Stegostoma tigrinum: one gene and its partners. The protein of the gene in region 3 interacts with the protein of the main gene of each other region in a pairwise test. Links are inferred from orthologs where the notes say so. Each region holds a gene or a part of one and is shown on either strand. Other genes may lie near its edges.

The links.
Region 1: the proteins of atos homolog protein B (region 3) and dnaJ homolog subfamily A member 3, mitochondrial-like interact in binary tests that used the Homo sapiens proteins (3 or more experiments, as listed by UniProt). The link is inferred for Stegostoma tigrinum from reciprocal best matches to the Homo sapiens genes ATOSB and DNAJA3.
Region 2: the proteins of atos homolog protein B (region 3) and kif20a interact in binary tests that used the Homo sapiens proteins (3 or more experiments, as listed by UniProt). The two-hybrid records come from large-scale screens. The link is inferred for Stegostoma tigrinum from reciprocal best matches to the Homo sapiens genes ATOSB and KIF20A.

The regions. Positions count from the first base shown.
Region 1 is NC_081376.1:32,396,414-32,404,368, reverse strand, and holds the start of dnaJ homolog subfamily A member 3, mitochondrial-like, read left to right. Parts: upstream 1-4,860; 5' UTR 4,861-4,879; coding exon 4,880-5,069; intron 5,070-5,433; coding exon 5,434-5,564; intron 5,565-6,187; coding exon 6,188-6,271; intron 6,272-6,700; coding exon 6,701-6,898; intron 6,899-7,955. Other genes in the region: coro7 (coronin-7), read right to left, coding at 2,554-2,613. UniProt on the Homo sapiens protein: Modulates apoptotic signal transduction or effector structures within the mitochondrial matrix. Affect cytochrome C release from the mitochondria and caspase 3 activation, but not caspase 8 activation.
Region 2 is NC_081366.1:76,636,794-76,644,985, reverse strand, and holds the start of kif20a (kinesin-like protein KIF20A), read left to right. Parts: upstream 1-5,036; 5' UTR 5,037-5,215; intron 5,216-5,579; exon of another isoform or gene 5,580-5,654; intron 5,655-8,192. UniProt on the Homo sapiens protein: Mitotic kinesin required for chromosome passenger complex (CPC)-mediated cytokinesis. Following phosphorylation by PLK1, involved in recruitment of PLK1 to the central spindle. Interacts with guanosine triphosphate (GTP)-bound forms of RAB6A and RAB6B.
Region 3 is NC_081354.1:132,723,517-132,731,291, reverse strand, and holds the start of atos homolog protein B, read right to left. Parts: upstream 3,445-7,775; 5' UTR 3,377-3,444; intron 1-3,376. Other genes in the region: protein unc-13 homolog B, read left to right, coding at 5,524-5,545. UniProt on the Homo sapiens protein: Transcription regulator that may syncronize transcriptional and translational programs.

The DNA of each region.
Region 1 (7,955 bases), on a different chromosome or scaffold from region 3:
TAGTATTCAAAATACTTCAACTGATGCATGAAGGATCTTGTGAAGACTTTTGACCCTGCCTACACCCAGCATATAGATCATGATTGTCAACAAGGCGCTTGACAAGATGTACACTGCTTAGTAAGGTTAGATCACATGGAATCCAGGGAGAACTACCACTTGGATGCAAAATTGGCTTAAACGTAGGAGACAGAGGGTGGTGGGGGCAATGGACTGTAACCAGCGATAGGGTGCCGGAGGGTCAGTGCTCAGTCCACTGCTTTATGTCACTTATATAAATGATTTAGATGCAATTAGAGGAGGAATGGTTAGTAAATTTATAGATTACACCAAAATTGGTGGTGTAGTGAACAGTAAAGAAAGTTATCTCAGAAATTATTGGGGAGGCAATGGCCTAGCGGTATTATCACTGGACTGTTAATCTAGAGACCGAGGTAACATTCCAGGGATCTGGATTCAAATCCCACCGTGGCAGATGACGGAATTTGAATTCAATAAATATCTGGATGATGACCATTGCTGATTGTCAGAAAATCCCATCTGGTTCACTAATGCCATTTAGGGAAGGAAACTGGCATCCTTACCTGGTCTACCCTATGTGTGACCCCAGACCCACAGCATCAGGGTTAATTCTTAACTGCCCTCTGGGCAATTAGTGATGGGCAATAAGTGCTGCTCTGGCCAGTGATGCCTTCATCCCGTGAACGAATAAAGGAATACAACAGGACCTTGTTCAGATGGGCCAGGGAGTGGCAGATGGAGTTGAGTTTAGATAAATGTGAGGTGTTGCATTTTCAAAAGGCAAATCAGGACAGGACTTGTGTACTTAATGGGGAGTATTGCTGAACAAAAAGCCCTTTGGGTGCATGTTCATAGTTCCTTGAATATGGAGTTGTAGGTAGATAGGATAGTGAAGGCGGCATTTGGTACACTAGCCTTTATTGGCCAGTGCATGGAGGACAGGAGTTGAGAAGTCATGCTGTAGAGGTCTTGAATATAAAAGCAGGGATGTACTGCTGGGGCTTTGGAAGGCACTGGTCAGGCCACATTGGAGTATGGTGTGCGGTTTTGGGCCTCATATCTCGAGAAGGATGTACTGGCCCAGGAGCGGGTTCAGAGGAGGTTCACGAGAATGGTCACAGGAATGGAAAGCTTAAAATACGAGGAATGTTTGAGGACTCAGAGTATACTCATTGGAGTTTGGAAGGCTGGGGGCAATTAATTGAACTTTCAGAATACTTTATGGCCTGGACAAAGGGGATGTTGGGAAGATGCTTCCATTGATTGGACAGCCTAGGACCCAAGGGCACAACCTTAGAGTAAAAGGGAAGACCTATTAGAGCAGAGATAAGGAGAAACTACTTTAGCTAGAGATTGGTGAATCAATGGAATTCACTGCCAAAGCAGGCTGTGGAGGCCAGGTCATTGAGTACATTTAAGATTGAGATAGATACGTTCTTGATTATCAAGGGCTACGGGGAGAAACCAGTAGAATGGGGCTGAGGAACTTATCAGCCATGATTGAATGGCAGAACAGACTTGAAGGGCCGAACAGCCTAATTTCTGCTCCTCTGTCTTATGGTCTTATACAGGACATTAGTTAGGCCACTGTTGGAATACTGCACTCAATTCTGGTCTCCCTGCTGTAGGAAAAAAAGTGTTGTTAAACTTGAAAGGGTGCAGTAAAGATTACAAGGATGTTGCTGGGGTTGGAGAGCTTCAGTTGTAGGAAGAGGTTAAATAGGCTAAGGCTATTTTCCACGGAGTGTCAGAGACACATTTAAAAGGCATCTGGATGTGTACACGAATAGGAACGGTTTAAGAGAGACATGGGCCAAATGCTGGCAAATAAGTCTAGGTTAATTTTGGAAATCTGTTCAGCACCGATGAGTTGGACCAAAGGGCCTATTTTCGTGCTGTACGATTCTACGACCCGTTAGAGAGGGCAGCACTCAATCTTTTGGCTGAGACATTGAACCTGGATCCCTATCTGCCCTCTCACGTAGATATAAAGTACCCCCCTGCACATTCTTTTACATTCAAGCCAATACTGACTATACAAACAGCACCACAAAAATAGATGATCTAGAAAACTGGTCACTATCACGTTGTTGATTTAGACCTTGCGGTACATAAATTGGCTGTTCCGTTATTTGCTTTGCAACATTGACTACATTTCAGAAGTACCTGCCGAAAATGAGAAAGGCACTACAGAAAGGTAAGCGTGAGGAGGCTAGAATTCTCTTTGCTGCTGCTGCTGCTTCTTCTATGGCAACCTAGAACAGAATTTGTGTTAAAGCGTTCAGAGCTCGATCACTGCAACTTCCTCACAGGAAGCAACGGCTTCCGCAGCAATTGAACCTCAAGGGTGACAGGGCCAGGTCCCGGGGGAGCCCGTACCTGCAACACCCAGCGAGGGACACGGGCTGGAGGGAGGTGCGGAAGGAGCAATGGAACCCGAGGGCAGAGCACGGCCCCGAACAGCCCTATCCCAGAACAGTATCCTCCCTCTTACCCTCTAATGGGGTAATTGTTCCCTTCCCTGATACTCACCGCCCGGCCCGGAAGCCGCGGTGCCGTGTTCTTATACTTCGAGCTTCGGAAGCGGTTCATTGCTCCCGCTCTAACAGCGACTAGACAAACGATTGCTCCACCTGTCCGAATAGCCGGGAACGACTGGAACAGCCACACAGGGGAGGGGAGGGGTGGGACCGGGCCACGCCTTGCACATCCCCGCAGCCAGCGCGCCCGTCCACCAGACAATCAGAGGCACCGCCCACTGCTGCAATGTTAGATTGAAGAGGTAAATCTCCACAATCGTACAGCATCACTGTCTCACAAAACAAGAGTTACGACTGCCGGTGGGTTTAACATGATACTTCAGGCGAGGTGATAGCCTGAGGATGAGAATCCTTCGTGTTAACTTCTACCAGCGCAGAAACTGAACCCACACTGTCGGGATCACTGTGCATTACGGACCAGCTGTCCAGCCAAAATAGCACCTCCTCCACAGGAGAGAGTGACACGGCTCACAAGAGCAAGCCAGCAATTAGTGGAGTAAATGGGAATAGCCTGAGGTCAACGCTCATTCACAAACATTCACTTCTTCCTCCACCACCAATGTTCAGATGCAGCAGTGTCTACTAGCGACAAGATGCACTGCAGAAATTCACCACGAGTGAATAAAGAAAGTGCATAAAGTGGAGGATTCTTGAGACAATGGGTGGAACCTAGGAATTACATGGGGAAATTCTTAATAGGTAAGTGCCTATAGACATATGAATCTCTACAGTATGGAAAGAGGCCATTCAGCCTGTCAAGTTCTGCACTAACCTTCCAAAGAGCAGCCGACCCAATCCCCATAATCTACATTTACCAAGGCCAAGCCACCTAATCTGTAAATCTTTGGACTGTAGGAGGAAACGGCAGTACCTAGAGGATACTGACACAGACACAGGGAGAATGTGTAAACAAAACTTGTTGCCCAACTAGTTGCCAAAACTAGGATCAAACCCAGGCCCCAGACACAATGAGGCAGGAGTGCTAAACCACTGTGCCACCGTGTCATGCACAGATGGAGTGTGGGCCTCAATTGGTGGGAGCAAGAACAAAAGAACACTGCACAACTCATTTACAGGACAGTTTTAAATCTTGCCTGCAAACATCTGATATGTTGTGTCAACAATGATTTGTGTTTATATATCACCACTAAATGTAGTAAAATGTCTGATGAGTATTATTAGAGTGTTCTGAGGTATCTTAACAGTTACAATACTCACTTATTCAGTACTCCATTGGATTATGAGTTTAGATATCTGGAACAGGATTTGAACTTTCTAACTATGAAGTAAGATTGATACAATGGAGAAGTCTCTGCAAGTCCCCAGCTACTCGTTGTTCCTTGTAGAAGACTTTGCCGACCAGTAAAAGCCATGAAATCCATTGTCTAGGTGCTGTCAACTACAGGTCCTGTCAGCAAGACTTCATAGCAGCAAGTAGGTAAGCAAAACTATATTCACAATGAAATCTCTATAGAATGTATGGTATGATCACTCGCTTTACTGTTTGCAGTTTCCAAAATCCTTTGTTAGATTTTGGAGTAGCAATTTTTGCCTCATTCCATGCCAGAGAGCACCGAAGTTTCCACAAGCAGGAGCTCCTACTGATTAACAACTGCATCCTTGTAAGGTTTAAATCTGGAGCCTCCAGTACATTGGTAGTGCCTGTACCTTTGGGCTAGATACCAAATCCCACTTTCCCCAGTTATGTTTTTGAACAGGTTGATTGAAAGTAATTAATGTTTGAATCTGTGGGCCTTGCCTTAAGTTAAAAAGGAAGTCAGAACCCTCATTCCTCCCTGATGATAAAACGAGACAAAACAAAATTCGACTTGTATGAGTCAAAATAAGCTGAGGACAAATGCCAACAGAGCAAGACATAAAAAGGTACAGTATCTAAGTTAAATCAAGGAAACACACCAGCAGCTTTCTTTAAGGGAAATTGTTTAAATAATAAATACATGTACAAGAAATCAGCCTAAAGCTATCCACCTAAGTCTCTGAATAAGCACAGAATCAATGGTGCAAGAGGCTATTTCGCCCATCATGTTTGTACCGAGATAGTATCATTAAATCATTTTCACCGGGCTGGGAGGATAGACACCGTCTCAAATTAATGTCTCAGCAAAAAGATGACCTCTGTAGCAGTGCAGCAATACTTCCCTGGATGGGAGCATAGGCCTAACACATAACTGACGGTGGATGAACCTAACTCCAGGCTACGAGGCAACTAGGCTTGTTGCGCAGGCGCAATATGATTATGGGACGGTTGTGCGCATGTGCAGGACCGGAAAGGGTTGTTGGTCTGCGCAGGCGCTAAGATGGCGGCTGCACGGTGCTACCTTCGCTTGGTGTCGGTGACCTGGAACCCATTGGCTGGAGCCCGGCCTGGCACCGTGCGGATACTCGCCACTCGGGGTCTCCGTACTGCCTTTTGTCTGGGCCCTGGATTGTTATCGGCTGGTGGTCTGGGTCTCAGGTTCGGCCTGGAACTAAGATTGCGGCTGTCCGGTAAGGAAAGCGAGCAGGTTCGGCTGGCGTCGGCCTGGTAACTATTGCATGGCCTGTCTCGCCCCATGACAGAGAGGAAATTCAAGCGACCCCTGGAAGGGCAGTGTCAATGCTCCCCTCCACAATCAGGGCAGTGTCTGTACTCCCAGGCATTATCCCACTGGGGATAGATTGTCTGGTAAGGAAAGATTTGGACTTGCTTGCGATGAATCATGAGCATCAGATGTAGCTGTTGCCGTTAGTCAGAGGAGAAAACGATGTCACTTCTTGATGCAAGGACGAAAATGGTTTATAGTTTTTTTTTAAATGCGGGAGATTGTGGGTGTTTTTCCTAATTGTTCTTTTCCCTTTCATTTGCCTCAAGCTTGTTCACCAAATTCTCTAGGTGTTGCTGCATTTCATACAGCTTCTCCTTTAGCCAAAACTGATTATTATGAGGTGTTGGGGATCCCTCGCAACTCAACGCAAAGAGAGATAAAGAAAGCTTATTATCAGGTATGAGAAGCGAATGTCATTTAAACCAGACTTACAACTTAAGTTCCTGTATTTATACAAGTAATCAGTGGGAATTTTTTTTAATTGCACCAAGCCATCGACCAGAATAATTTTTCCAGCTCATCAAATTGAATTGTGTAATTGGAATCTTAGTCAAATTTAATTTACTTTAATGTCTTCCTCTCCCTCCTTGTCATGAAGGAGCTGAATTTGCTAGTCCACTTTCATGACATCAAGAGTTGCAAGTGGCCAATTTTAACTGATGAATCTGAATCTAGACAGTATCTACTGGGTCAAATTTGAATTCTCTCTTATAAATGAAGCCGCTTTTAAAATAATATGTCTGCGGTGGTGACTGTCTGGTGCAGATATGTCATGAAATTTGTCTGGGGTAGATAGGACTTGAACCTGAACCACTTCGGCAGAGGGGCACTATCACTGCAACACTGTCTGGTGTATACTTTAAACAAAAACATGGAAAAGAATTACATTGGGAAATTTGTCTTAATCAAACCTATTTTAATAGTTGGAGTACTTATCCCAGCAAAGCCTACAGGGGAAAGATTGGTTTCAGTTATAACTACTTGTAGCTTTGAATAAATCTTGTGTTCTTGCATATACAGCTTGCAAAGAAATACCACCCAGATACAAACAAAGATGATCCAAAGGCAAAGGAGAAATTTTCCCAAGTGGCAGAAGCATATGAGGTAATGAATGTATTGCAATGAAAGCCCCTAACTGTATTGCACAAGCTGTCTAGTCCGGAAGGGAGTTTCTGGGCTCCGAGTTGGCTGATCATGTGGGGAGGTGGACAGCAGATGTCAGCACAGCCACAGCATTTCCACTTTTCGTGGAGGGAAGAGAGGGGTTGAGAATTGTGTGTGTAGCTGGGAGTTGTGGGTGAAGGAACCAGTGTTCTATTCATGTGCCACTACCAGCACAACTGAATAGTTAGGTAATCTCTAAAGAACAACACCACAGTATGAATATTCTAACTTGAGGTAAAAAACTGTGAAAATTGTGTGACAATCAGTGTCTATTCTCAAACAGTAATACAGGATTCCTAGGGATCGTTATTCCTGAGTTTATTTGTTAATTGGTTTCCAGCTCTGATCGATATTAATTGTGCATTACAGGTTCTGAGTGATGAAGTGAAGCGGAAACAGTATGACTCTTATGGGAGAGTTGGATTTGATGCAGGAGGGTCAAGGAGTCAGGAATACTGGCATTCAGGGCCTTCAGTGGATCCAGAGGAGCTTTTCAGACGCATCTTTGGGGAATTTACTGGTTCTGGATTCAGAGATTTTAACACTGTCTTTGACCAGCACCAGGAGGTGAGTAAGCTAACTATTTGGCTATCCAGAAACCAGTGATACTGAAGATGGACAGTTCCTTGCATAGAAATAGGATTAGGCTATTCCATTCATCACACCTGTCTCACCATTCAATATAATCGTGGCTGATCAAACGCTTCATTGCCCACAAAATCCCCAAGAGACTGTTTCTCGGCTTCGCTTAAGGAAAGAAGTAATAGGAGCAGCAGTGAACCATTTGGCTCTGTGAGCCTGCTCTGTCATTTAGTCATAACTAACATTGTGCTTGACCTGTCTTTTCCAGAAGTTTCCCATGTTCCTTGATTTCCTGAGAAATCAAACATCTGTCTGTCTCTGATCTGATCTGATCTGACATCAAACATCTGATCTGTCACATCTGCCAATGTGGTATACTGCATCCACTGTACCCAGTGTGGCTTCCTCTACATTGGGGAAACCAAGCGGAGGCTTGGAGACCGCTTTGCAGAACACCTCCGCTCAGTTCGCAACAAACTACTGCATCTCCCAGTCGCAAACCATTTCCACTCCCCCTCCCATTCTTTAGATGACATGTCCATCATGGGCCTCCTGCAGTGCCACAATGATGCCACCCGAAGGTTGCAGGAACAGCAACTCATATTCCGCCTGGGAACCCTGCAGCCTAATGGTATCAATATGGACTTCACCAGTTTCAAAATCTCCCCTTCCCCAACTGAATCCCTAAACCAGCCCAGTTCGTCCCCTCCCCCCACTGCACCACACAACCAGCCCAGCTCTTCCCCTCCACCCACTGCATCCCAAAACCAGTCCAACCTGTCTCTGCCTCCCTAACCTGTTCTTCCTCTCACCCATCCCTTCCTCCCACCCCAAGCCGCACCCCCAACTACCTACTAACCTCATCCCACCTCCTTGACCTGTCCGTCTTCCCTGGACTGACCTATCCCCTCCCTACCTCCCCACCTATACTCTCTCCACCTATCTTCTTTTCTCTCCATCTTCGGTCCACCTCCCCCTCTCTCCCTATTTATTCCAGAACCCTCACCCCATCCCCCTCTCTGATGAAGGCTCTAGGCCTGAA
Region 2 (8,192 bases), on a different chromosome or scaffold from region 3:
AAGCTGCTTTGTCTGTTGTCCAGCCCTAAAGGATGGAAGACCCTCTGCCACCCATTGGCCCCTCTACTTTGAGCAAGTCTGACTTAACATCACCTTATGTTGCTCAGTGCCAGTATTTTTTGTTTTGTAATGCTTCTGTGAGGCACTTAGGTCATCTAATAAAGTTAATGGTTTTGTACAAATAAGTTGTTGTTTCTCATTATGCTTTCACAATCCTTCCTTCATTATTATTGATTATCCTTTCCCTTAAACCCATCCCCACTTCCTTCTTCTAGTCTCACTGCAGCACCTCTCCTAATTTCTTTTGTTAATGAAGTGATTGTAAGCACTGTGTACGCCAAATAGGAACTCCCGTCTGCCGAAAAACTGCTGCCTCTAGTAAACAGTGGTCAGAATCACTTTAGCTGTGGTGTGGTTGAGGAATGCATCTGAGGGGAGGTGAATGTATTCTGCGTTAATTTTTGTCAAAACATACTGTCATGCAACTTGCTTCCAAATGTTGAATCCTGGTCCCAAATGTTGAGGGTTGGCAATTCACTGACTGCCTCTTGTCCTGTGGCTTGTACAGGTTGTGAGGGCTGGCCTGAGTCTTTTATTCCAACCTTATTCTGACAGTAACAGGTTCTGATCCCAGTATGTACATCAATTTTTCTTGGCATCAGTTACGTTTCTGGAGATTATTAAGCAGAAGGCTGAGAGGTGCTTGAGAGATGTCTATGTATTGTAGGCTGCCAGCTGTAGTCCAGCCAGCTTGGTTTTAAAAGAGCATTATGGGATCCTGGATAAAATATGGAAATAATGTAATATTTTGCGACAGGGACGTCATCAGTCAGCTGTTTCAAGGACGTGATTTATTCCTGATGAATTAATTTATCCAGTAATGTTCTTCCTTTAAAAAACTTTGAAGCTGCTGGTACAGAGATGTTTCAGAGCGTCAGTATTGTCCTATAGTTTGGAGTGAGCTGAGGAGCCCTTTCACAACTTAAGAGTAATCAAGTTTCCTGGGTCTGAGTGTGGATATTTCAAGGCACCTATTGGTCTTTTCTTGTAGCTTGTAAGAGGATTTTTGGCAAATTAGTATTTGCCTCTAGAGTACGTTAGTGAAAAAAAAACTGGTCTTTTGTAACATTTGGATTTTTACTAAACCAACATCCGATACTCAGGTTCACAAAGTCACCTGGCACTAAGTCAGAGATAATGGGAACTGCAGATGCTGGAGAATCCAAGATAATAAAGTGTGAAGCTGGATGAACACAGCAGGCCAAGCAGCATCTCAGGAGCACAAAAGCTGACGTTTCGGTCCTAGACTCTTCATCAGAGAGGGGGATGGGGTGAGGGTTCTGGGATAAATAGGGAGAGAGGGGAAGAAGGACCGAAGATGGAGAGAAAAGAAGATAGAAGATAGGTGGAGAGGAGAGTATAGGTGGGGAGGTAGGGAGGGGATAGGTCAGTCCAGGGCAGATGGACAGGTCAAGGAGGTGGGATGAGGTTAGTAGGTAGGAAATGGAGGTGCGGCTTGGGGTGGGAGGAAGGGATGGGTGAGAGGAAGAACAGGTTAGGGAGGCTGAGACAGGCTGGGCTGGTTTTGGGATGCAGTGGGGGGAGGGGAAGATCTGGGCTGGTTTTGGGATGCGGTGGGGAAGGGGAGATTTTGAAGCTGGTGAAGTCCACATTGATACCATTGGGCTGCAGGGTTCCCAAGCGGAATTTGAGTTGCTGTTCCTGCAACCTTCGGGTGGCATCATTGTGGCATTGCAGGAGGCCCATGATGGACATGTCATCTAAAGAATGGGAGGGGGAGTTGAAATGGTTCGCGACTGATAGGTGCAGTTGTTTATTGTGAACCGAGTGGAGGTGTTCTGCAAAGCGGTCCCCAAGCCTCCGCTTGGTTTCCCCAATGTAGAGGAAGCCACACCGGGTACAATGGATATCAGAGATAATGGGAACTGCAGATGTTTCCATATTAAGCAGAGGTTCACCTGCACATCTGCCAATGTGGTATACAGTATCCACTGTACCCGGTGTGGCTTCCTCTACATTGGGGAAACCAAACGGAGGCTTGGGGACCGCTTTGCAGAACACCTCCGCTCAGTTCGCAATAAACAACTGCACCTCCCAGTCGCGAACCATTTCAACTCTCCCTCCCATTCCTCAGACGACATGTCCATCATGGGCCTCCTGCAGTGCCACAATGATGCCACCCGAAGGTTGCAGGAACAGCAACTCATATTCCGCTTGGGAACCCTGCAGCCCAATGGTATCAATGTGGACTTCACCAGCTTCAAAATCTCCCCTCCCCCCACTGCATCCCAAAACCAGCCCAGACTGTCTCAGCCTCCCTAACCTGTTCTTCCTCTCACCCATCCCTTCCTCCCACCCCAAGCCGTACCTCCATTTCCTACCTACTAACCTCATCCCACCTCGTTGACCTGTCCGTCTTCCCTGGACTGACCTATCCCCTCCCTACCTCCCCACCTATACTCTCCGCTCCACCTATCTTCTCTTCTCTCCATCTTCGGTCCACTCCCCCTCTCTCCCTATTTATTCCAGAACCCTCACCCCATCCCGCTCTCTGATGAAGAGTCTAGGCCCGAAACGTCAGCTTTTGTGCTCCTGAGATGCTGCTGGGCCTGCTGTGTTCATCCAGCTTCACACTTTATTATCTTGGCACTAAATCAGTTTAGTTAGCACCCTTTCTCCATATTCCCATTCATGCTGAGAATCTACTATCCATTATTTCTGTTAGCACTCTCCCTTCCTACATCCTCTCAGTTACTGCAGACATTTAGTGGTGGCAGTGATGTACTGGTGATATAACAAGATTAAGGGGTATGCCATTTAGAACAGAGTTGAGGAAAAACTTCTTCACCCAGAGAGTGGTGGATATATGGAATGCTCTGGGCCAGAAGGCAGTGGAGGCCAGGTCTCTGCATACTTTCAAGAAAGAGATGGATAGAGCTCTTAAAGATAGTGGAATCAAGAGTTATAGGGATAAGGCAGGAACAGGATACTGATTGTGGATGATCAGCCATGATCATAATGAATGGTGGTGCTGGCTTGAAGGGCCGAATGGCCTACTCCTGCACCTATTGTTTATTGTCTATTAGTATAGCAATCCAGAGGCCCAGGCCCATATTCTGGAGTTACAGCAGCTGGTGGAATATAAATTAATAAGTTTGGAATATTAAAGAAAACTAGTTCCAGTTTTGTTGTCTCCATTACTATCACTATCATAAAAACCCATCTTGTTCTCTGATGTCCCACAGAAGAGAAAAATCAGTCAAACCTGCTTTGTCTGAGTGATACAAAATGACAGACCCACCGCAATGTTGTTGACTCATCTGCAGTCTGAATGGCCTAAGAATTAAGCCACTCAGTTCAACAGCAATTAGGGGTGAACAATAAATGCTAGTCTTATAAGCAACACCTGAAAACCATTAAGGAATGAAACAAATTCTCCTATTTCCTATATTACAAACTGCACTAATTCCAGCTGTCTTGATTTGGACTACAAATAGGTTGGATGGATTCAGAGATAACACAGAGTGGAGCTGGAGGAACACAGCTGGCCAGGCAGCATCAGAGGAGCAGGAAAGCTGAAGTTTCAGGTTGGGACCCTAATTCAGAAAATGAAGAAGGGTCCCGACCAGAAACGTCAGCTTTCCTGCTCCACTGAAGCTGCCTGGCCTGCTGTGTTCCTCCTACTCCACTGTGTGTTATCACTGACTCCAGCATCAGTAGTTCTTACTATCTTTGGATCAGATTTCTGATAGGTTCTATTAGCTCTGCTATTTTTCCAAACCTCTTTGTAACACTTTTTTAATTGCAATATTTACATTGCACTGAAATAAATTCAGTCACAGCTACTATAACGTATAGCCTTGGAACAGTGGCACAATGGTTAGCACTGCTGCCTCACAGTGCCAAGGGCCTGGGTTTGATCCCACTCTTGGGTGACTGTTTGTTTGGAGTTTGCATGTTCTGCCTGCGTTTCCTCTGGGTGCTCCAGTTTCTTCGCACAGTCCAAAGATGTGCAGGTTAGCTGGATTGGCCATACTAAACTGCCCATAGTGTCTTGGAATGTACAGGTTAGGTGGATTAGCCATGGTAAATGCAGAGTTAGAAGGATAGGGGTGAGTCTGGGTGAGATGCTCTTTGGAAGTTCAGTGTGGACTTGTTGGGTTGAATGGCCTGTTTCCAAACTGTAGGGATTCTATGAATACTTCAGGAAAATATGCTTAAAATTACCTCTCAAATTGAGGCACGGCTTCCAAACTGACAGTGGTTTCCTTTCCTCTTTCAAGCTGTGAAAAAGATAAGACATAGAAGCAGGAGTCGGCTATCCAGTCTGCCCACCATTCTTGGCTGATTGATAACCTTCAACTCCACTTTCCTGATGTGTTCGCATAACCCCTGATGGTCTTAGTGTTTTTTTTTATTAATCATTATCTCAGCCTGGAATATCCTAAATTACTCAGCCTCAAAAGTCCTCTGGATTCAGAGTTCCACTACATTTGAGAGAAGAATATTCCTTCTCAACCCTGTCTTAAATGAGCAGCCCCCTCATTTTGAGATGATGCCCTCCCACAAGGGAAAGCAACCTTAGTGCATCGACCCTGTCAGGTTCCTTAAGAATGTTATATGCTTCAATAAGGTCGCATATTATTCTTTTAAACTCCGATGGACACAGAGCCAACCTACTCTACTGGACTTCACAAAGCAGTCCATACCTGGTTAATATTTATCTCACTTATAAAGCAAACAATGGGCAAGTGGAAAAATAACATTTCCCTGAGAGAAATCTTGCCATTTATCTCCACGAAGGAACAACTATGAAAATGAAACAAATAGAACCTGTCTTCCTCCAAACACTGAGACTACCACAGGTAGAAGAGTACTGATGTTGGAAGTGCGCATGCGCTAGCGACCGGCGTGACCTACGCCGTGGGTGGACATGCGCACAGCCGTGAGCAGCGTTCTTTCGGGGAGGGGAGGGACTGCGCAGCCGCAAGGAATGACCCCCCCACCCCAAACACCAAGACAAAGGAGGGTGCTTCCCCGGGCGCGCATGCGGAGTGAGGTCACTGGGACGCGGTCGGCCGTTGGACGGGAACAGCGGCGCGCTATTTGAAAACAAGGGAGTCGTTGGCGAGCGGTGCGCGGGGTCGGATTACTGTCAGGCTAGTGCTGTCTTCGCTTGGGACTCTCACCACAGGTATGGTCTCTATCTCCTTCCCTCAGGTACAGCCCGAACGGTAGGAAAGAGCGCCCCACACGAAACAAGGCGGTCGTCCCCCCCCCCGGTCTGCGCTGCAGCTTCATAACGTCGTTCATGGCGGCGTCCCTCTTCCTGCCCGGGCGATGAGTCAGTGGCTGCAGGCCCTACACGCAACTCAGTCAACAAAAGGGCAGGCAGCAGCAGCAGCGGCAGCAGCAGCAACCGCCCCCTCTCCCCATCATCAGCCCACCCGGTGTGCCTGCTTTCCTCCGCAACCTCCCCCCCCCCCCCCCACCAACCCACCCAAATCCCCAGCCCACCGGGTGTTCTTCCCTACCCCCTTGTGCCCCATTCTGCACCCAACCTCTCCCTCCACATCCAGAAGAAGGTTAACTATTCACCCAGCTGGACTCTCTTGTGTGTTTGCCCGTTTGAGGTAGGGGTGTTCTCTTTTACTTGCTGTTTGAGTAAGGGTTGGGATGTTTTCATCGGCGATATGCTCCCCAACTTCTCTAGGTTAGAAAGAGTGTCTGTGGATTGGTATTGGTAATATAGGCTGAACGACGCCCCCCCTTCATTGCTGTGACATAGAGCCCTACAACATGGAAACGGACCAGTCCGTGCTGAATGTAATTTTTAAACTAAACCAGTCCCACCTGTCTGCTCCTGGCCCATATCCCTCTGAACTTTTCCTATTCAGCTACTTATCCAGTGTGTTTTAACTGTTGTAGATGTACTCATATTCACCACTTCCGCAAAGTTCATTGTGCATGAGAGGCACCCCCTGTTTTTAAAAAAAACAAAATTTGCCCTTTGTGTCTTTTTTTTAGAAGTCTCTGTCCTTTCACCTTAAGTATGCCCTCTAGATCATCTTGGTTCTATTGCCCTATGATACTGGTGGCTCTTCGTGGTTTGGTATTTTCCTTTGATCTGTCTGTGGGCCTGGCTATACACTTTGCTGACTCCTTAACAATTGGCCATGTTGCTTTAAGAGATTAAAAAGGTATGTGCATCTAGGTGGTAGTCTGTTTTTGTTTTGAAAATTTTGGAACCTGATTTTAAATTCTTACATGTGATGGGATTTGCATTATGTGGATTTAATAACCCACCAGTAGAAGAATACACGCTTGCTGAGCTATCGCATGGGTTGCTGTGGTGTTTACCCTATAGGGTGCTAATCTCTGGGTTGACTGATTTTTTTTTTGTTTAGTTTATTGCTGGATATATATTTCTAAGGATTATAGTTTTCAAAACTTTTTATGAATAGTAACTAGATGCAACTGGAGGTGATCTTCCACAGCAAGCAAATGTGGAAACAATTTGACAGCAAGAGGCCACATCCAAAAAACAGGGAAGTAAGTGATCTACAAAATAATTGAGTTTGACTATTCTGCCCTTGGGCAGTGGTTTTATTCAGCCTAAGATATAAAGAGGCACTTGAGCTGGTTCCCTGAATGTCTGTCTGTTTCTTACAGACCCTTGCCTGCTAGGTGACTCTATTGACAAATCTTGGGCATGCTGTCTGTGATTTCTTGAGCATTAAATTTTTCTAATGTGGAGAATTATGGGCAGCATGTCCTCAATTTTTGTGTAATATGCAATGGATTGTGTGCACTTGTAATGTTGGCTCTTGATCTATGAAAGATGTGCTTTATTTCTGTGATTTGCCACTCAGTATAACTTTACTTTATGTAATCAAAAGATTCTTTTATAGATGGGCTGAGGCTACTATAGAAGCTGCAGGGCAAATCAGAAAAATTAATCAATTTAAGACTCCTCCAGCAAAAAAAGCATGAAGTCGGTTTTCTGCACTTGTGTCTCTGGGTGACTGGGTTCATTAGCATGAGAGACTGATGTCTGATTCTAATGACGACCCATGGGTATCACTTCCTGCAGAGTAATAAATATGAGATTATGCATTTTTTTGTGCTGTTAGAAATTAAAGGAAATGTAATTTCCTATCTTGGTGGCATTCAAGTTTTTGCAGTTTGAGATTAATTGTCCTCTGGTTTAAATCCTTGTGAAATTTTATTCAAACAATTTTTACTGTTGACTTTACCAAATATCTATGTTGTATAGTCTGTGAATACAGTTATTATTGAATGAAGCTCCTTTACATACAAGTTCTTGATGTGCATAGTTTTATTTTCAATTTATTTTTGTTTTTATTAACCAACTTGTCAGTGAAGTTTTCAGTTATCTTTATGAAAACCTAGCTTACATATGGATAAAGGTAGCTTCAGAATCAATTTGTGCTTTTCAAATTTGCACATTCTGACATCTCTTTGTGGAATTTTGCACATTTGTCTCAGCAAGGAAATGCAATCTAGAGCCATGTGACTTGGACAAGGCAACCAAAAGTTTTGAAACGGTAGTAATGCATCCTGTACCTGTGAAGATACATTCTGCTTTTGAATTCAGATGGAGAAGCTCCCTGTTCTCTCTAATGATGAGAAATTGATTTGGGGTCATTATCTTTGATTATTATTAGTTTATATCTATTAAATTTTCTCTGAATTTACCGATAAGCATGTGAGCCATATGGACCATAAGAACATAAGAAATAGGAGCAGGAGTAGGTTATTCAGCCCTCGGCATTTGCTTCATCATTGTTTAAGATCGTGGCTGATCTTCCCCAAACTTCAACCCTCCTTTTGGTCAGCTCCTCGTAGCCACCCACTCTCCAATTTTTAAAAATCTATTTCCTCTTTAAATACTTTGTGATCTAGCCATCACAGCTCCCCGTAATAGTGAATGACCGGAATTCTACTTTTTCTGAGCAATGAAATTCCTTCACAGATAATAAAGTGCGAAGCTGGATGAACACAGCAGGCCAAGGAGCACAAAAGCTGACGTTTCGGGCCTAGACCCTTCATCAGAGAGGGGGATGGGGTGAGGGTTCTGGAATAAATAGGGGGAGGTGGACCGAAGATGGAGAGAAAAGAAGATAGGTGGAGAGGAGAATATAGGTAGG
Region 3 (7,775 bases):
TTGTGAAGAAAAATACTTTTGACAACAGGCCCATCAGGAAGTGGTCAGCATGTAATGTCTTTGAGACCCTGTGGGAACAGGAGAAAGTTGATCCTGTCCTATGGTTCTCTGAGCAGACAGTCAAAGTCATTTGGCAGAATGCTTCATCGCCAGAACTTTCCAACCAGCACCAGCGCATAGTTTAGCTGGTGGTGAGAGGGAAATGCCCGTTCTTTCATGCATCCTGGTCTCTGTTTACCACACACTGCCCTCAAAGAGGCTGCACTGGTGAAGACACATCTCCTTCTGGAATTTACTTTTGCAAAGAAGGTCAGGAGAGAGATGCAGTGGGTTTTGCTGAGTTGTATTCCTTTTGGAAAGATTTTCAATTGGAAAATGTGCATTTAAGTGGGGCATTCAGAAGAGGTAGGAGATTTAAGTAGGATCTAGGTGTCAGTAATTGGCCAGTTAGAATTAAAGATTTTCTAAAGATCAGCAGGAGTGTAAGGCTGTTTATGGTTTTAATGGTCATTGGGTAATTTGCAGAAAGAGGCAAAAGGCATATCAAGTCTATGCTGGCTATCTGCAGAGCAATCCAATCAATCCTCCTACAAGATAATCTCCTGTACCGCTGCTTGTATATTTCTGCACCTATTTCCACAAACCTTTATCTGTTTCTTCTCATCCTTGTGCAATCATCAACAAAAAGGAATAGATTTTCCTTGTGTACCTTATCCAGATCTGTCATGATCTTGTTCAAAAAACAGAAAATGTTGGAGACAATAAACAGGTCAGAGAGTGTCTTTGGACAGAGAAAATTAGTTAATCTTTCAACTTGTTGACATCATCAGAATTTCATGAATTTCCTCCCTTCTTTCAATTTCATCTCTTACTCTTTCCATAGCTTCTCTTTCTCCATTTCTGGTAATATGTTGGCAATGAACATATATTAGAAGTCCACTGACCTCCATGGTCATCTCAACTACACATCTTTGTACCTAGATCCTGTCAGGATTCTATTTCATTCTCCCAGTTCCTCCGTATCCATCACATCTGATGATGTCTTCCAATCTAGTATTTCTGAGATGTCTTTGTTTTGTCTCAACAGAGGATCCCTCTCAGCCTGGTTGACAGGGTCTTTTATTTCAGGTTTCAATCCTTCTGTTCCCTCCCAGAACCCTGACTCCTCACCTTCCATCCATTTTCCAAATATTCCTACCTCTGTATTAAAATAATTATTTTCCACCAATTCCACTACCTACCATGTGAGGCAACTAAAAAATGTCTTTCACTTCCTTCCCCTTTCAGCAGTCCAAAAGGAATGCTCCTTCCATGACACTCTGTTTTACTCCTCAGTCACACAGCCATCCTTTTCCTGGGGCACATTTTTATGTAAAGACAGGAGATGCAATACATGTCAATTCACCTTTACTTTGCTAACTGTCCATTGCCCCAGGACTCCTTCAGGTCAAACAGGAATTTATGTTTCCTTCTTTCAATTTACCATAATGCCTTGTCTGTTCCTCACATAGTCTCCTCTATGGTGGAGTGACCAAATACAGATTAGGTGACCACTTTGTGGAACACCTCTTGAACAAGTCCTCAAGCCTCCTGTGGTCTGTCATTTCAATTCTGCACCTTGCTCTTACACTGACATCTGTGTCATTGTTCCACTGCACTGGATCAGAGAAGATTCATGCAAGGTTGAGAAACAGCACTTCAGTTTTCATTAACCAATTTATAGGCTTTGTCGGAATTCAATTATTTTAGATGGTAAGCTCTGTTGTATCATTTTGTTTACTTCAATGTTTTTCTAATTTTGGCTTTCAGACAGTAGAATGTCAGCTACCGACATATCTTTGTTTCTTTCCCTGCTCTATTGTCTTGCTCTCTTTGAACGTGCAAGATCAACACTTATTATTCAACCTCTCCTGTCTTCCACTCAACAAGAGACCTTCCCTTGCCTACCAATGTCTTGTTCAAATCATATTACATCGCTAACTTTTCCCAAGTTTGATGAAAGATTTGAAACATTCGTTCTTATTTCTCACTCCACAGTGGCTGTCTGACCTGCTGCGTATTTCCTGCATTTATTGTTTTTCTTTCAAACTTGCAGCATTTTGAGTATTGTTGGTAGGTCTCAATTCTGTATGTGATGCTATAATCAGATATTAGGCCTACTTCTTATCCCACTGCAACCTTAAACCAATTAGACACTCTCGCCCTATGTTATCCACAGCATGTGTATTCTCAATGGTGGAAATGCCTGGGCATTTTTTCTTCTGTGTGAAGCACATTCAGAGGAGCTTCCCAAGCTCTTTCGGTTCCCGAGATTTTATTACACCTTTAGCAATTGCTTTATTCCATTTTTACTCTATTGCTTTAACTTCTTTTAGGCCAAATTTTCTTTTTTGGGGCAAGTAGAACCTGATTTAGTTAAATCACTACTCCTCACGACAGAATAAGTCACTTTGTTGTCCTGTTACATCCAGTCAAGAACAGTAAAAGCTAACAGGAGGAGGAGGCTCTATGAACATCATCCGCAACCATGGTGTGAGTGCAGCAAGCCCGTGTGCATGCAAACATATTCCACCACGGTGCTTTCTGTCGTGGTCTCGAGCAATGTAGATGAAGTGTCCAATCAAATCATTACACCCAGTATTAAGGAACAAATAACTACGATGAACACATGCAGCAAAGGTTGGGGGTCCTAACAACATTCCTGGCCCAATTCCAGCACAACTATGACAATGTTTTTTGCAATATCGGCGGTGGTCGCAAAAAGCATAACAGGTCCCATTATTTCCCTACGTGTCGTGAAGGAGTTCCGGGGAATCACATCTTAAAAACAAAGTTTAATGTTTGAGATGAATAACACGCAACTACTATGTGCAGCAGGTGGCACTATATTCCATCTAATGTACACACAAACTTCAGTGTGGTGTAAATACTCTGAAATTTGTTATGAGTGGGTTTCAAATAAATAAGTACTGCTGCAATCAGTATTTCTGTGTGAAAATAACAGAGCAGCCTTTTGAAAGGCAAGTCTGGAAAAATGAGCATCTTAGTTGAGTTCCCACCGTAATGTAAGGACCGTCGCGCTGTACAGCTCGGTTCTACATGAAGCTTACAATGTGATTGACGAGGCTTATTAACGTCATTCTGAATTTCAAACCAATTCAGATTTTTAAAAAAAGATATTATCTGCATATTTCTGAAGACACACTGAAATGTTACCGTTTCCATTTTACCTGTTAAATATAACAAGAAACCGACCGTAGATTACATGGTCCACGGAATTAATTCTAAAATTATACAGAATAATGAGAAAGAAATCAGGCGATCTTTGAGAAACCACTTTTTTAAACCGTGTTTGTGGATAAAAACTGCTACTCACCGTATTAACGTTCAGAGTTTTATTTCAGAATGTTTCGTCAAATGGCGTCCACCATTTCTGACAGGCAGAGGCTATAACATCGGTAATAAAACGCGCACGTAGATGCATGCAAATGATTGAAAACGTTATTTATCTTAACTGTATAATTATCGAACCTACAATCCATGTTAACCAAAGATAGTTCGTTTGAATGATAATCGTTATCTACTAAGGAGTAAATATGCTAATAAATGCTCATTCTCCCTCAATCGACGGGAACAGCTAAATTACAGTAAAGCGGGCGATAAATCTACGTCTTCAAGTACTAACATGTATGTGGATAATAACAATAAAAGATCATAAACTGAATAATACGAATACTGTACTGAGTACCTGCCAATTAGGCCTTATTCATTTTACCTATAATCTCAGCCATTCAGCAATAGTATGAAATGCATAAAAACAGCTGAAGTACAATGAACCACTCAGAGGCTTTATGGTGCAGTGGCAGTGCCCCTTCTTATGGGCCGGAAGTCCTGGATTCAAGTCCTACACCTGTTCCCAAGATGTGTCATGAACATGACTGTACAGGTTGCTTAAAAATATCTATTAGGAACTATCGAAAGCATTAAATGCCAAACCTCAATCACACCAATAAAGCAGCAGTCGGATGTAACTTTTTGGTAAATCCTTGTCTATAAGCATCACTTACATTCGGTCAAAAATTGGAATTAAAAAGCAGATCGCAAGAGCATTTATTACCCACACATATTTTCACCGTAGTCCAACTAATTTTGTGGCTACTTTATGAATAGGTTTATAGAAAAGTATTGCGCTTTCTGTTTTTTTAAAGGCTTTGTGAGGTGGTGCAACATTAATGGCTACAGCAACAGAAAGGTGCTGCGGATGGTGGAAATGTGAAATAACGTTAAAAATATTCTGAAAATCAGGCAGCATCTGCGAAGAAATTGCCAGATTTATCTATTCAGGTCGCTGACCTTTCATCGCCATGTGTTTATAGCTAATTTCTGTTTAATCCCAAAGACGAATCTGTAATCCATTAATGGTTATTAGAAGCGTCCGAGAATTTTAAGTATTTATACACTTGTTTTCAAAGCATTGTGTTTTTAAAGAAAATAGGATGGGAAGCTGACCTTTAATATATATTCCACTGACAAAGTTGGTGTCACAGCAGGTTTTTATTCGTAATACCATATGTGCACTTGACATCTCGATGAGCCTTGAGTTTATTTGCTGGAGGATGGAGGGGTTTCTACAGGAGATTATTATCAGTAACTCTGATTACTTTGATTATTTCTAACTCAATTATCTAAATTAAATTTTGTAATATGCGAAAAATCCGTTTCTGATTCATTTGATTATAGGTCAATACAAAAAATACCCTTTCGTAAGTAACAGTGATTGACTATTCTACTCCGAATAACTAACGATCCAGTTATGTATATTAATTTATTTTGATTTCGCAGAACAGAAAGAGGATTTCCACCCCAGCCAAATTATCGAAAGCTGGAAGCGGTCAGTCCCTCAAAAAATGAAAAATACCAATTGCATAATTCAAGGTAAACCGCGACAAGTTGTCTACATTTTAAAACCCTGGATGTCTCCTTGTACTGTTGATCCTACCAGCCAGAAAAAGACCAACTCAGGTTTAGTTGCATTGTCGTGCAGTTTAGTTAGTTCCTGCAAATGCTTGAGAAATTGAGTGCCAAGCTTTGCAGGATATGGTGTCCGGAAATGAAGAAGGGGCTGAACATTTACCTGAAACACGAAACGTTGGCCACAGGAGCGGCGCTGAGTTCCAATTGACGTCACTCACCTGACAAAGAGCCCATCACGCGCCGACCGGCGGCGGCAGCCCCGCCCAATCACCGCCCTCATCTCTTTCCCATTGGCTGACTTCTCGGACAGGGCGCTACCCCATAGGTTGAGGCGTCCCTTTCCCCGCCCCTCTATTTCCGCTTGTGGAATCAAGAGGCTCGTCAACATGGCGATGAGCTGTCATCCATCGCGCCGACAAATTCACAGTTACTTCGAAATGGTACGGGCAATGATGGGCGGACTGCGAGTGCTTCCACTCCATCAATAAAAGCAAACCCTGTTTTGTTTTCAGTCTGGGTGTTAGGCGTCGAGGAGGACTTTGTCGCACTATGTCTCTACTTTGTGTCAGAGGTGAGTGTTGCTAAGGGGTGTGTTCGGGGGCGGGTGGTTGGGGTGGAGAGGCCTGGGGCACAAAATAGGTGGTACCCACCCTGATGTCTTCCAGACATCGGCTCGCCTGCTCCACGTATCCCACAGCAGTCGTTGGACTGAAAAAGTGTCGATCGCCTCTCATCTTGAACAAGTCAGTAGACTTGTTGCTGTTGCATCCGTCACTTATTTTTATTTTATATTTGTACAGTAAATTTGATTGATCTGACAGGTGTGTCTGAAGAGTAGCTTTTTCTGCGACAGCATCTGTCTTTTCCTGAATCTCATCTTCCACCCCGTTTCTACTGTTAATATGCGTGTTTGGAATTTTTCGGACAAACTGCTGGTTTATATTCCAAACGGTGATAGTGAATAAAACTTTTAGTCTGGCAGATTGTATGTGCTATGTATGGTTTGCTTGCCCGATCTGAAATCTTTTGAGTGAGAAGAATCAGTTCAGTATTTAAATACTCGTCTTTAGATCTCATCTGGGTGTATTCGCTACAGTGTTATCTCTTGTGAAACAGGATGGGGTTTTGATCAAGTCCGTTTCTATGGGAATTGATCTAAAGCTTCCTCTTGGAAGGCAGTTATTTCAGCAGATAAGCGGATGGGATAAGCTGTCAATGTTTGCAGCACAAATTTCGTCCGTTTGGATTTTTAGATGAAGTGAGACCCAGCGAAGAATTGTGTGAGGGAAAGCCTCGCTTAAACGCAAGAGGTTGAACTGATTTTAAACCAGTTAATTACTTTCCGCTCTGGGTTTTGATTTGTGCTATTACCGGAACACTTGTTTTTACAGTAACTAAAATGTTATACTGGACGCATCGTTGGCTGCCGAGCTTGGCTGGGCAGAAAGGTTTCAGTTTGCTTTGTTCGCTTTGCTTTGGTCGTTTAATAAATGTTGTACGTATGAAGAAACTCAATATCGTTTTAATGATTGGATGTAAGTGTAATTATTTGTCATTTTACCCGCACTTACAAGACTTAGTATGGCTAATACTGATCTGTTGAGAGAGTAAAGATAAATGTGGAACCCGATGCGCCCAAGGCTCTCTAACCTATTAAATGTTACATTTTCTGCAGATCTTAGTTCATTCAATTTAAATACCATTCCATTTGTTGCAATCCGCAAAGATTTCAGTATTATCCCTCTTTAATCGGATTTTGCAGCAATTCAAAATCATAAAGTCTTTGCATATCTGTACCCTTCAGTATCGCGGGAAACATTAGGTACCCGAAAAGGCATGGAATGGAAAATAAGTCAGCCAATTTTCATCTTGGATAATATATGATGCTTCCCTTTCCACCTGTTCAGTGACAATATCGTATTGCCAAATCTCAGATTAGTCTGGCATTTGCCGTTCAATAGAAACTATAATTTCTAATTTCGACGAAGTAGTTAAGCAGTTCAGAGAATGTGGAAATTATGTTTTAAGGAACACAATTTTCTGTTAGATATTGTTTTGCCCTAAGGTATTCCGTATCTCAGAAATTTAATTTTAATTTTACATTGTGACCATGAATGAGTTACAGAGATTTTCTACTCTAGTGTTCAGCTGACCAACGGTATTGTTACAAAACTGCATTTTTCAGTTTTGTCAGAAGCTATCCTTTGACCTTAGAAAAAGTAGTTACAATACCTAATTTTGTGCCTTTGTCAATACTAGTAACACTGAAAGAATAGTATACCTACAGCTGAACTGCTATTAGATGGTTATTTTTCATCACATGCAAAGCAACCTAGATGATTTATTCTTTAATTCCCCAGGCTTTGTGCTTGTGGTTAAATCACTGAACAACATATATCTGGTCTAAGAAAGATATGTCTGGCTCTTGGAGTGAAAGGCTAATAAAGCAGAGTACAGAAATACAAAGTACTGGAGAAACTTGGGAAGTTTGGCAGCATCAGTGGAAAGAGAAACAGTACTGAAATAACTCTTTGGATGTACTGAGTTTCCCCAGCAATTTTTGCTTTAATTGCAGATTTCCTGCATGTCCAGTGCTTTGCTTTTCTGCAGAGAACAGATGCCAGTCATCAACTGATGCCATGTGATATTAAGAAATAAATGAATACACTGGGTACTGCAAAGGCTGTGGATTCTGGCAGCATTCTGGCAATAATATTTGAGATGAATAAAACAAAGAATTGTGTGCATGCTGGACATCTGAAACGAAAACAGAAATTGCTGGCAACTCAGCATGCCTGACA